Caenorhabditis elegans: one gene and its partner. The protein of the gene in region 1 interacts with the protein of each later gene in a biochemical or structural test. Each region holds a gene or a part of one and is shown on either strand. Other genes may lie near its edges. The genes, in order: cep-1 and cbp-1.

Region 1 (7,358 bases):
CACACACCACCGAGAGCTCCATGAAGAAGATCGAAGACCACAACACCCTTGTCTTCATTGTTGACGAGAAGGCCAACAAGCATCACATCAAGAGAGCCGTCCATGCCCTTTACAACGTCAAGGCTGTTAAGGTATGTTCCTAATTATCAGTTCACGTAATATTTCAAATTTACAGGTCAACACCCTGATTACTCCACTCCAACAGAAGAAAGCTTACGTTCGATTGGCTTCGGACTACGATGCTCTTGATGTTGCCAACAAGATCGGATTCATCTAAATCTATTTGTTGTTCATTGTTCGTTACCGTTATGATGAAGATATTCATTAAACGTAGTTGAGCTTTGTGGGAAGCAATCGATTCGATTGCAACGTGCAGATTTGATTCAAAAAGGAAGCAGATTTTATTGTAGTATCAAATACCTCTTCAAGTCTCGGTGACATTCTCATTCTGAGTCGATTTATGTTCGTCGACAGACTCGTTTTGTCTCCGTAAACATCATTCGTAGCCGGACTGTCTAAAATTAGTTTTGAATTGATAAAACGAACAAACTTTATTACGAAAAAATGCGATTATAAAAAGGAACAAATGTCAGTTTGAGTATCTAGTGAGAAATGCGGTGCTTTGAAAAGGATGAATATTGTGAAAACAAATTAGGCGATTAAACCAGGTGGTGATATGATTTTTACTTTGGCAGTTTCATCGCTTCCTGGATGCGGTAAAAGCTGAGAAACGCTTCGTAGTATTTCGACAATTTCGAAGAATCGATACCAATTCTTTCGAAGATGTCATTATGTTTCTCGAATTCTCTAATCATATCCCCCATTGTATAAATTCCGTTTGCATTGAACAACACTGAATCGTGCCCTGCTTTTATAGCGGTGAGGAATCTTCAAAAAAAAGAAATTACGGCAATCTTTATAAATCTTTATAAATACCTTTCAAGTCCTTCAGTTGGCAATATATGGGAGACTACTTGCGTCGGAACCCAAGTGTATCTGGGAACTTTTGCTTCGCGTGCCAGAAATTCGACGACTTTTGTATACTCAGCAGTCGACAGCTGAAATTTATTGTGAATCAAAATTAATTATAATATTGCTTTAAGAGTGAGCTAAAAATACTTACAGTGAGCGTTCTAAACGAATAATTGGTACAGCGACTTCTCTTCATCGACGGAGATTGACAGTTTTCGTGTTCAGTTTCAATCGGAGGAACGCATCCATGAAGACGACTTGCATAACCTGTTACTGGTGGAGTTCTGTGCATCATTGTATAATCATTATTTGGAGAATCACACTCATTCAAAAATCTCTTCCGATTATTACTGTTTGATGGAGATGAATATGAAGTTGATGGTTCCATCTGTAAATTTAAAATCTTATTTCATATTGCGTTGAGAAAATAATTGAATGTCTTGGGAATTAGAGCATATATATTTAAAAAATTAGATCGAAATAAAACATTTCAAAGCTTTGTGGTCGAGCAAACATTACGCATAAAGGAAGTCATTGGGAGATAAGATATCGAATTTCAATTCAGTTTTTGTTCATTCGACGGAAACAAGAAGAAAACGTTTTTCTATAGAAAATTGAAAAGAATCATGATAAATATGGTATATTCTTCTGGCAGAAAATTGATATTTCTACAAGGCATGATTTTGGAAATTGAAGTTATTTACTATTTTCCAAATTCTTTTAAATCATATTCTAGACAAACCTGTGCAGTAGTATTGGTCACGTTGAACATGTTCTCTAGATTGACCTCTTGTTTGATATTTATCGATTCTAGGCTCGCCTTCTTGTAGGCAGGTAACTCGGGAAATCTGAAATCCTTTTGTTTTGCGTCTTCTCGCTCACAGAAATTCTTCCAGTCACGTCGTGGATAGGCAACAATTCGAACTTGTTTGATGTATGCGTGGAGAATTTCGTTTCTGAAATGGTTTTTATTTAGTATATTAAAATGTTTAAAGAGAGATTTTCACTATTAATTTTACTCGATTATAAAGAGCTTTTTCAAAAGAACCAATTCAAAGAGTGAAAACAAATGTTCAAAAAAAAAGATCAACAATTCACAAATGTATTTGATTATGAATAAAGATCAAGCAATAAGTGTTATTAAAAAATTAGCAAAAAATTGATTTGAAACGCGGTAAACATTGCCGCGTTTTTAAATGACTCCAGACTGGCCTAGAATTTTTACATTTCTCTTACACGACCCCCTATCTGGAAATAGTAAGAACAGTAGATGTCGTTTTTAAACTATTTTGGAATAAATATTTTAAATTATTTTGATTATTTGAAAGTAATCTTTGACTTTTTGTTAAGTAGAAAAGAAACACTGTTTCAAGTGAATAGAGGAAGGCATATTTCTTCAACAGTAGGACAGTAGTAGAAAGCTTTTTCAGTATTCTTTTTTCAAATTTGAAATTATGTCTGAATTTACCCATTTTCATCGTCCAAAAAGACCGCAAGGCACATCGTTTTTCGTCGATCATCCAAATCAAGGCACTTCTCTTGACACATGAAGATTATATCAAAATTCGCCTGAACTGCGCCTGGATACATTATCAATGTAAATGTACTTCCTGAAAATTATTTATTATGCAATAATTTTGAACATGTTGATTCAACTAGAATAGTGTTAAAATATTTAAGAAAGTTATTCGCCTGATCTGAAAATTTTGAAAAAAATGTTTAAAAATTGACTTTAAAATGTTCCATCGGAATTATTTGCCGATTTTCTCAAAAATTGCGATTTTCCATTTAATTACATTTTAAAAAATTTAATGTTATTTTTGTTGTTTTATTTGAGTTTCCAAATAAATTTTCATCGAAAAACTATGAAAAATCCGCAACAAACAGCTTCAAAAAATTACGGTACTCTTTAAAGGTGCATTCCATTTTACAGTTAACAAAAATTTGTCGTGTCGAGACTACCGTACTTGTGGTGCAAAAATCACAATATTTCATGTTTGGATAATACCAAAATTTTGTAGAATTCGCCGTTATATTCATATTTCGAACGTTACCTTTTTCCGCACTATATGAAAATTCGTGTTCTGAATTTCTAATGTAGAAAAATGAATCAAATGGAAAATGTTGTTCTCGTTCAGTATGACTTCGACACTTCATCACATCACTTCTTGGATTTCGAATCGCATATTCGACATTTTCTTTTTTGTCGTATTTCACAAACTGAAAATGTTTACAAACTTAGTGCCTCTTTTCTCAATTTGAATTTTTTGCACAAAATAAATGTTTATTTCGTATTACGGTAGTCTCAGAGATTTTTTTTCAAAAAGTGAAAACATTTACATCCTAACCAAGGGTGTCAAGTCCCATGTCCCGTTGTCCCGTTTTTTGAGTGTTTTCACGGGAACGGGACGTCCCGTTGTCCCGTTGTTAAAATTATCACGGGAACGGGACAATTTCTCTCATGATTTTGTTGCACATTTTAAAGTTCTGTTTTTGAGTTTTGTTTCAAGACTTAAATTCATGCAGATTAATGACTTACATGCAGTTTCTTTTAATAGTTTGCCTCGAATACACTAAAATTTACGCCAACTATGCACTCTTTTTTTTAACCGCCCCGTTTGCCCCGTTTTTTGAGTGTTTTCAAAAAAACGGGACGTCCCGTTGTCCCGTTTTTGAAATTTTCACGGGACATTGACACCCTTGATCCTAACGCCAACTCACCCTGATTCTAAGTGATAAATTACTGTTAAAATGACGTTTATCCAATTTCCATTTCACTTGAATCGGCACTAGACATCCCATTTTAGTCCAAAGATATTTTTCGTGTTCCGATGAAATTGCAAATGCCATATCTGAACTTTTTGCCACTTTCTGTTTAAGAACGTCAATTTCCATCCATTTTTCACAATCTTCATTCAAATTCATATCTGATTGAACTCTTACAGCCAAATTCGATGATCTGAAAATACCGTGAAATAGGGTGAATGAGAGTTTTTCTTAAAAATACTCCAAACCCAAAAAACAAATCCAGAAAATAAAAGTTGGATTTTTTTCGGTTTTGCTCAAAAAATATATATTAAACTTTCAGCGGCAGTCTTGATTTCAAAGCAACAGTCCACCTTTAAATATATATTTGTTTTAATTGAAAATTTCCACTAAATCCGAAAAATACAAAACTCCTCACTCATCATTTCCATCAAAAGGCACATTTGTTTCCGTAAAATCCATTTGTGTAACCTTCTGTGTCATAGTTTCAGAAAGCTCTCTCGATCCGTCATTTTCATAGGATAATGCTGTTTCTTCCGCGATTTTCATCGATTTTCGAATAAATCGTTCTCTGGCACGCTGGAAATTAGATTCTCTATAGATATAATTTCAATAATACTCACCTTCTCAATTACAAGTTGCTGTTCTTCCTCTGTACGTACTCGAAGATATTCATACTTTTGGGAGTCGAGCACAACTTGCGACAACGTTGTATTCTGAAGCTTTGGATTATTTAATGATTGTATTTTGATAATTTGCAAAAGTAGAAGAGTTCAACTGTCTTCAATTAGTTTTTTATGCCTTTTCATTGCATTCTTCACTTCCTATTTCATTTACTAACCGATAGATATGATTCATCATTCATTAAACCATCTTCTGATTTATCACTGTCGAATACATCTCCAGAAGTATTCAAATCCGGTTCGAAAGCATCGGAAATCTTTGGCGTTCTTTTCTTGGTTTCCTCGCCATTGCCCAGTATTCCGTTATAGATAGTTGAAATTCTGAATAATTAATTTTCAAATATAAATCATATTTTTCTTTTTTAAACGAACCCAGGCGTCTTTAATATATCTTTTTCCAGTGAATCTTCAGTCCCTTGACTGAATATTGGAGTGAATACTCCGTCCTGATAAAATTATTTATTTGAAAATTAGGATTTTTTTTTTTCGGAAACTCACTATCATTTTCTGGACAGTGTCGAAGCTTAGATTTTGTGTCAAATTTACGCCGATGTCCTGCGAATCGGGTATTCTTGCATCTGAAAGCAAATTTAATTGAAATCTATATTTCAAGATTTCTAGCTTTTCACCTTTCAAAATATCACTGAGTTGTGAATCATCGGGTTCCATTCTGCGCTACAAATCAAGTAATATTTTTATTTTATTGAGAAACAAGCAGAAAAAATTAAAAACTTAAGTTTAAACTTGCAAGAGAAACAAATAAAGAAGTTCACTTTCAAATTCAAGTGTGTGATACCGTACTCCATGATTTCGTTCCGAGACCCATCTGTGAATGAAACCCGACGTCCTTTAAAAAAGTTTGTTTTAGGCGCCATTTTCATTTGTCGGGATTTCTTTTTTGTCATTGTTTCAGCCTTGATAGATTTTTATCTCGTCGTTTGTCACGTTGTTGTTGCGTCTGAATATTCTCATAAAATTGCAGCATAATGTCAGACGAACCACCTGGATTCTTTCGGGGTGGAGTTGATAGCAAACGTTGTTCTAGAAACGGGTGAGTTCTGTTTGAAAAAAATTAATATTAAAAAAACAAATATTTTTGAAAAATCTTATATTTCAATCATCAAATGACTGTAAACAATTTTCAGGTTTGATGCATCGCGGGTCTTGCCACGAGGTACAGATAATGACACTCGCAAAGAGTATCGACGGGTGGCGAATGAAATCATTCGTTCGTTTCTGAAAAGTGGACAAAAGAACACGACACTTGAACCTATGGGAAGAGATCAGAGAAAGGTGATGCACGAGGTCGCGCTACTCAATGAAATGACAACCAAATCTCATGGAAGAGAGCCAGATCGGTACATGATTCTGTCGAAGAGAGTGAACAGACTATCCAAGTCAACTCTTGTTGCAACTGAGCCAATCACTCCATCCTTCGAGTGTCTTCAGAAGCTGTCGAAGTTTGTCGAAAAGCATCCGATCACCAGAGAAGAAATGGACGAGTTTTTGACAGAGACACAGACAAAACAAATGCACACCACGAAGGGGCATATTAGTGATAGAATGGTGATCCCACCAAAGTCAAAATGCTCAAAAGAGTTACAAAAAGTCAGGTTTGTGAAAACTGTATAAATAGTTACTCCTATAACATTAAAAATTTCAGAAATTCACTGCCAGCTTCCAAATATTGTGACCAAGTGCTGAAATCTATTAGCTCGTGCAATGTGGTTATCATCAGTGGAGGAACTGGATGTGGAAAAACTACACAAGTACCACAATTCATTCTCGATGAAGCGCACGAAAATAATAAACATGTTCGTGTGATGGTCACACAACCTCGTCGTATTGCTGCAATTTCAATTGCTGAACGAGTTGCGAGGGAACGTGGAGAGCCCATTGGACGCACTGTTGGATATCAAGTTAGACTTGATAGCAGGTAATTCACACTTTTCTCTCGATATCACTTTGTTTCAACTTCATTTTTCTTTGCAGACGAAGCGACGATACTGTTCTGACATATTGTACCACTGGTGTTCTTCTAAGAATGCTCACATCTGACCCAGTTGCCTCTGGAATAACGCACATTGTGATGGACGAGATCCACGAACGTGAAATCAACACAGATTATCTTCTAATTGCACTACGTGAATGTCTAAAAATGCGTCCAGATCTCAAAGTCATTCTGATGTCAGCAACGATCGAAGGAAATATGCAATTGTTCTCGAATTATTTTGAAAATCATTCAATGGATGTGATTCGTATTGAATCTCGAGCATTTGATGTGAAAGTTTTCTATTTGGATCAAATTCTTGCAATGACTGGCTATCAACCACCTGAATCGAAAGCCTTCTTCTCTACTGCCGAATATGAAGAAGAGGATTGGAAAGATGAAATTGAAGCTGTTGAAAGGGAAGAGAAGGATAAAGCCAAGCAGAGAGCTGCTGATAGTTCACTTTCCACTTTGTCTAAACCAGTAACAAAGATGGCTGCGAATACAAAAAGGTAGGTTTCTTATTCATGTAGCGACTGACTCTTCTCAAATTTCCAAATTTTAGAAATTCGCCGATTGAAGAACGCGAGTGGACTTCTGGGCCCTGCAGTACACCAGATGGTGATATCATTGACGAGAGAGCAATGCGTCAGTACATGAATATAATAGGGAATCCAGATATTCGTCCTGTGATTACTGTTGAATTTCGTCCAACCACACCTAACTCGGTATTCATCAATGATGTGAAATATACGACGAATCCCAATCAATCAGCACAAGCGTTACTCCAACAGAAGAGAGAAAGATGTTTGATGCCACGTGGTCCACTCACATTTACATGTGAGAATCCAGCTTCAACCACCAAGTCACCACCATCTCCAACTCCTACTCTCGGCATTTCTAGTGGTTTGGCGAAATTTACGCCATTTGGAGGTTTTGGGGTGAGG
Region 2 (5,116 bases), on another chromosome or scaffold:
GTTGGAATTCGGAGCACCTCCCCATGGTTGATTTTGTTGACTTGGTGCAACTGCCATACTACTTCCTTCAGAATGAACATCACTACGTCCACCTTCCACACCAAGCATCTGAGCGAGCTCGTTCGACGGTGGAATTGCGTATTCTGAAATGAAAATTGGTTAAAGGGTGAAATTTTAAAAAAAAAAAACTTACGATCATGTGCAGCAGCTCCTTGATTGAGTCTTGAATTCTTTTTCTCTTGAAGCTCTTTTTGTATCTTGTAAATTTTCTCAGCCAACAAATGATAATACTCTTCTCTGTCATTTGCAGATTCAAACATCTCTTTTTCGACTTTTCTGGCATAGGCTATCAAATCTTTTAACCGATTATCATTCATCGCTTCCTGATTCGGTTCCGGGAAAATCGCTTTAACCAATTTTCCGACAAGGTGATTTCTGAGATCTTTTGTGACTTGATGATGCCATTCTTTCGTACAATCTGGCATATCTGGTGGTGGCAAGTTTGGAATTTCTCCATTTCCACCAGGTGGTCTCGGTCCTCCACGATTTGGTCCGTTTTGGAATGGATTGCCATTGAATCCTTCGAATAGAGAATTTGTAATATTTCCAGTTCGCATCGCTGGCGATCCAAACTGATGAAGTCCATCACCTTCTGCGCTTCCGTTCGAATTCCCGTTGACTCCTATTAGATTTGCAAGATCGGGCACTGAAAATAATCAAATATTTAAAAAATGTTCTTGAGTAGGATAGAACGTACATGAAAATTGTAATGGAGTATCTTGTATCCTTTTGAGTGGTTTGCAGACAGGACAATCTTCCCTTGAGCAGTTTTTCCAGTGAGCTATTATTTGGCGAGACGATGCACAATGAGCGACTGAACATTTTTTTGTAGTTTGTGTGGTATCGGCTGAAAGAGATTTCAAACAGTGGCTAGAGTGAAGCGAAATTTTGGGTGGGAATAGGCGCTTCTTCTTGCGAAAATGTTCGAAACTCTTTCCAGATAGAGAAAAAGAAGCGACACGACGGGTAATATACTTACAATGACATAAACGACCAACATTGCAGCTTGTCATGTGTGTCAATACTTCTTTCATCGTTGAGCAATGGGGTAATGTACAGGCAGCATGTGGAGGTGGTTGATTCTTCGCAGCGAAATCACGATTTTCCTGTAAAAGCTGATGATGTATGAAGGAAACCAGAACATACTGTATAACATACCTTCTCACGTTGAGAACATTTGTGTGCATGAAGTAATAGAACAAGTTGTTGCTGAATAAGCTTCCGCTTCTCGGGATCTTGATGCGTTGCAAGCATGCTTGATCCAGGAGTTGTCGCCCTTCCAGCACCATTTCGTTGAGCTGCCGCCGCAGCTTCTTGCTCTCGTTGTTGCTGCTGTTGTTGTTGTGCAGCCGCCTGAGCTTGAGCTTGTGCAGCAGCTTGCTGTTGAGCAGCGTGTTGTGCTGCAGCAGCTTGTGGTCCAGGTTGACCATTTGGAGGACCGTGTGACATTCCTGGATGCCCATTGCTCATCATCATCATTTGATTCGGGCCTCGAATCGGTTGACCATTACTGTCCATCATCATCTGAAATGTAGAAGATTATTGTTATGATTCCAAGCAACTTCCAACCAATATTTGTGGAAGATTAGGGAATTATTGGAAACTTAAGTTTCAATTACACATCGATTTTGATTTGGCCAAATTCACGTCAAGCTAATAAGTGTTCCATTTTTGTTTGATCTTCAAAAATTGTCAGAATCGCACAGTTAAGATCATGCTGATCTTACCAATTTTCTAGGTTAAAAACAAAAAAAATTCCCGCATTTTTTAAAGATCAAACCAAAATGAAATAGAAATCAGGAAATAGTTTCTACTTACCCCTTGATGCATCATTGGATATCCACCGGGACGACCATATTGTTGCATAAATTCTGGTCGCTGCTGACCATATTGTCCGTGTTGCATAAACTGCCGATCAGTCATCATTGGCTGCATCATTGCTTGTTGGTTTGGAGGTATTCCAGGTCTTCCTTGTGTCGGCATTGGTCCACTTCTTGGCATTGCTCCATTCATCATAGCACCACGTCCCATGGGTTGTCCAGGAGTTGGTCCGCCCCGACTAACTCCTGGATATCCTTGAGGCATTCCCTGGGCTCCTGGTGGAGGACCACCTTGTGCGTACGGATATCGATGCATCATTCCTGGGAATTGTTGTCCTTGTGCACCCATCATCATTTGCTGTTGCTGATCTCCTTGGAACATTCCTGGTTGGCCTGGTCGCATTTGTGGTTGGCCTGGGCCTGGTGGTTGTGGACCTCCAGGACTGGGCCCCGGCACTCGACCCATAGATGGAGGTGACATCATATTCGGTGTACCATTTGGCATCATTGGACTCCTATTAAATGCATTTTGCTGTCCAGGCGGATATGCCTGCGGCCGAGGTGAATTGTTCGACGTTTGTGATGGATTCATTAGAAGTTCTTGAAGCACTGATCCATTGACACCTCCTCCCATATTCTGTGGCGGCTGCTGAGGTTGCGACTGTCCTGGTTGTAGATTGAACCCGCCATTGTTTGATGGTGCTGGTTGTGGAGTGCCTTGTGGATGAGGTGTCGAGCCAGAAGGACCACCGGATCCTCCAGCTGATGTGCTTGGATTATTGTCTACCTGAACAACAATTTTTATAAAACAGAGTGTTAATTCAAACAAAAAAACTTACATCTGTATCTTTACTAGAAGTTGGGAATGCTTCGAGACTTTCGAGAGCACTTAGCGCATCTAACCCAGAATCATAGTCTGAAAAGTTTAAAGGATCATACCGTAGCATCTTAACTTTCCTAGCAACTTACCGCTATCAGCGCGAGATTTTTTTGATGGTGGTTCATCCATCAATTAGTAGAAAAATGTATATATTTGACAAAATTCGAACCAAGTGAACTCTTTCTACTTCTCGGAACACCTGAATTGGTTGCGTCCGTCGGTTTTTGAATTCCCACGTCAACCACTACTTCATCAGAGTTCCCGCTTATTTGGGTTAGTTTGGCAAAATCACCAGATATAGCTGTTTGTTTCTGAAAAAAATGAAATGGATATATGGATTTTTGTCGGTGAACGGAGGAGGGAGGAGGAAGAGTGAGAAGAACATCGGTGAAGTAATGAGTGGAGGGTGGTTAGAGAGCGAGAGCACTTATGAAAAGAGGAGGCGAATTGAAGAGAGACAGACAGTGAGAGAGAAGGAGATGGAAAATCAATAGAATGAACGGAGGATGGTTGCACTTTTTAAAGTTTACCTGCACCATTGTATAAGTTGTTTAAGCGTGTAATAATAGAGAAGGAGCGTTTAAATGCTAAAATTGAATTAATAACATCAAATTCCAATGAATGGGTTACTGTAGCTATCATAAATTTAGAGCTTAAAATTGGATTCATAGCCAATTTTGCAAAACTTCGAAAACAAATTTTAATTAGAAACACTATAGTAATATACGGATTAACAAAAAAAAGTTGTTATGCAGTCTTGAGAGATATTTTTAAAAAATACTATGCATAATGAAGAAGGCGGGCATCTATATTGTGAAATTCGGGTATTTTTAAGCATTAAAGGTGTTTGGGACCATTAAAAACATGAATGCTCTAGATACTTACAGGTATATCTAGCTCGATCGATATTTGCTAAGCCAACCTTATGAGGCTAACTTCTCTTTCTCAGATGATCCCGTCGATTCACATGGTACTACTGACCCGATTCTGAACTGTATTTTGACTTAAAAAGTTGCAAAACATTTTCCACGTGACACGTTCAAAAGTTCATGATCGTGAAGAAGCGCAGAACACCGTTCGTCAAAATAACATGGTCAGTGGGAGAGACGACAGACAGCACGAGTCAGCCACCCACGAAGTAGTGTGTATCGGGAGAGAACGCCGACAGCGGGTGCCCCATGCTGTGGGTGTCTCGCAACGAAAACCGCGTTTCGCGAGATACGGTAGAACATTAACCGCACGCGACACGCACGCACACGAAGGAATATGCCATTTGGACAGGCTCCGTTTACAAGCATCTAATGGATCGAGATGAAAGTTTTGATTATAATTTTTGGTGTGATATTGAAGAAAATAACATTATTAACAAAGTTTGAAAGATGAGAGAACGAGAGCGAAACAGATAGATGAATGATGAGGTTGCAAAGATAAAAGTTAAATTTAATAATGAATTTGAGCTACTAGGAGCAAAATACATAGAAAATCGTAGAGCAATAGTATTTAGTAGTTGAATACTGTATATTATCACTTCGTGTAATGCCAGAGTAAGAGCCAGACTTGAAGCTCTGAAAAATCGATAACCACGATTGAGCACTTAATGGTTCAGTTTGTGAGCTCGCATTGAACTCTCATGAGCCGGCAGTGGCTTGAATAGATAGAGAATAATCGAAAGTGTAATGTTCTAAAAGGAAATTATCAAATACCACCGGAGAAGCAAAAAAACTGAGGAGGACGGAAGAGCGGCAGTTCAAAAAGTGCGAGAGGCGGGGCAATAGCCCTCCTCGTCCGACTGTCGATATCACCAAGAGAGGCGGAGCGACAGGGTGGCGGAGGGTGGTAGACTGGCAGTAGTTCTCAGTCATCCCAATAGACTTCTGAAGTTGACGACGATGAAGACTGAGATTCCGGACGACGACGCCGTGCTGCTGTCCTCAAGATTGTAATAGTGTGGCCGAGATGGGGCGGGGCCTCCGTTTCACACTCTATGCGCCCCTCTACTGCTCAGCGCTGGGCGTTCCGTCCGTTTCTCTACGCTCTCGTTTCCTTATCTTTCGGTATCGAAGGTGCAATTAAGGATCCGAATATACAGTAATTCATGATTCTTACGATAATGCGCATGATTGAACTGTTCTTAAACATAAAGTGTGGGAATAGCTAGACGTGTTGAGTATATTATATGTGAATGAATACGAATATTTCTAGAATAGAAAAATCTACAATCGGTCATGTTCGTTGGAAGCAGAATTCCAACAGGGTCCTAAACTGAAAACCAAAAATGATATGAATAAACATAGTATCTAGTTAGAAGGAAACATTGATTACTGTACCGGTAACTTACAAAAGACATAGCAGCAGA

The links.
Region 2: the proteins of cep-1 (region 1) and cbp-1 form a complex in vitro, tested with the Caenorhabditis elegans proteins (one study listed by BioGRID).

What each region holds. Positions count from the first base shown.
Region 1 is NC_003279.8:8,322,033-8,329,390, reverse strand, and holds cep-1 (Transcription factor cep-1), read right to left. Parts: upstream 5,097-7,358; 5' UTR 5,091-5,096; coding exon 5,051-5,090; intron 5,000-5,050; coding exon 4,920-4,999; intron 4,868-4,919; coding exon 4,794-4,867; intron 4,743-4,793; coding exon 4,580-4,742; intron 4,455-4,579; coding exon 4,362-4,454; intron 4,318-4,361; coding exon 4,157-4,317; intron 3,932-4,156; coding exon 3,694-3,931; intron 3,193-3,693; coding exon 3,027-3,192; intron 2,583-3,026; coding exon 2,441-2,582; intron 1,929-2,440; coding exon 1,715-1,928; intron 1,361-1,714; coding exon 1,124-1,360; intron 1,059-1,123; coding exon 937-1,058; intron 889-936; coding exon 684-888; 3' UTR 532-683; downstream 1-531. Other genes in the region: rpl-23A.2 (Large ribosomal subunit protein uL23B), read left to right, coding at 1-131, 176-277; ythc-2 (putative ATP-dependent RNA helicase spindle-E), read left to right, coding at 5,408-5,472, 5,567-6,034, 6,085-6,357, 6,414-6,923, 6,977-7,352. UniProt on the Caenorhabditis elegans protein: Transcriptional activator that binds the same DNA consensus sequence as p53. Has a role in normal development to ensure proper meiotic chromosome segregation.
Region 2 is NC_003281.10:9,764,471-9,769,586, reverse strand, and holds the start of cbp-1 (Protein cbp-1), read right to left. Parts: upstream 3,078-5,116; 5' UTR 2,890-3,077; coding exon 2,850-2,889; intron 2,797-2,849; coding exon 2,720-2,796; intron 2,668-2,719; coding exon 1,879-2,667; intron 1,585-1,878; coding exon 1,219-1,584; intron 1,167-1,218; coding exon 1,040-1,166; intron 908-1,039; coding exon 758-907; intron 707-757; coding exon 194-706; intron 144-193; coding exon 1-143. UniProt on the Caenorhabditis elegans protein: Acetyltransferase enzyme. Acetylates histones, giving a specific tag for transcriptional activation. May prevent DNA damage-induced apoptosis by inhibiting cep-1-dependent transcription activation of the programmed cell death activator egl-1.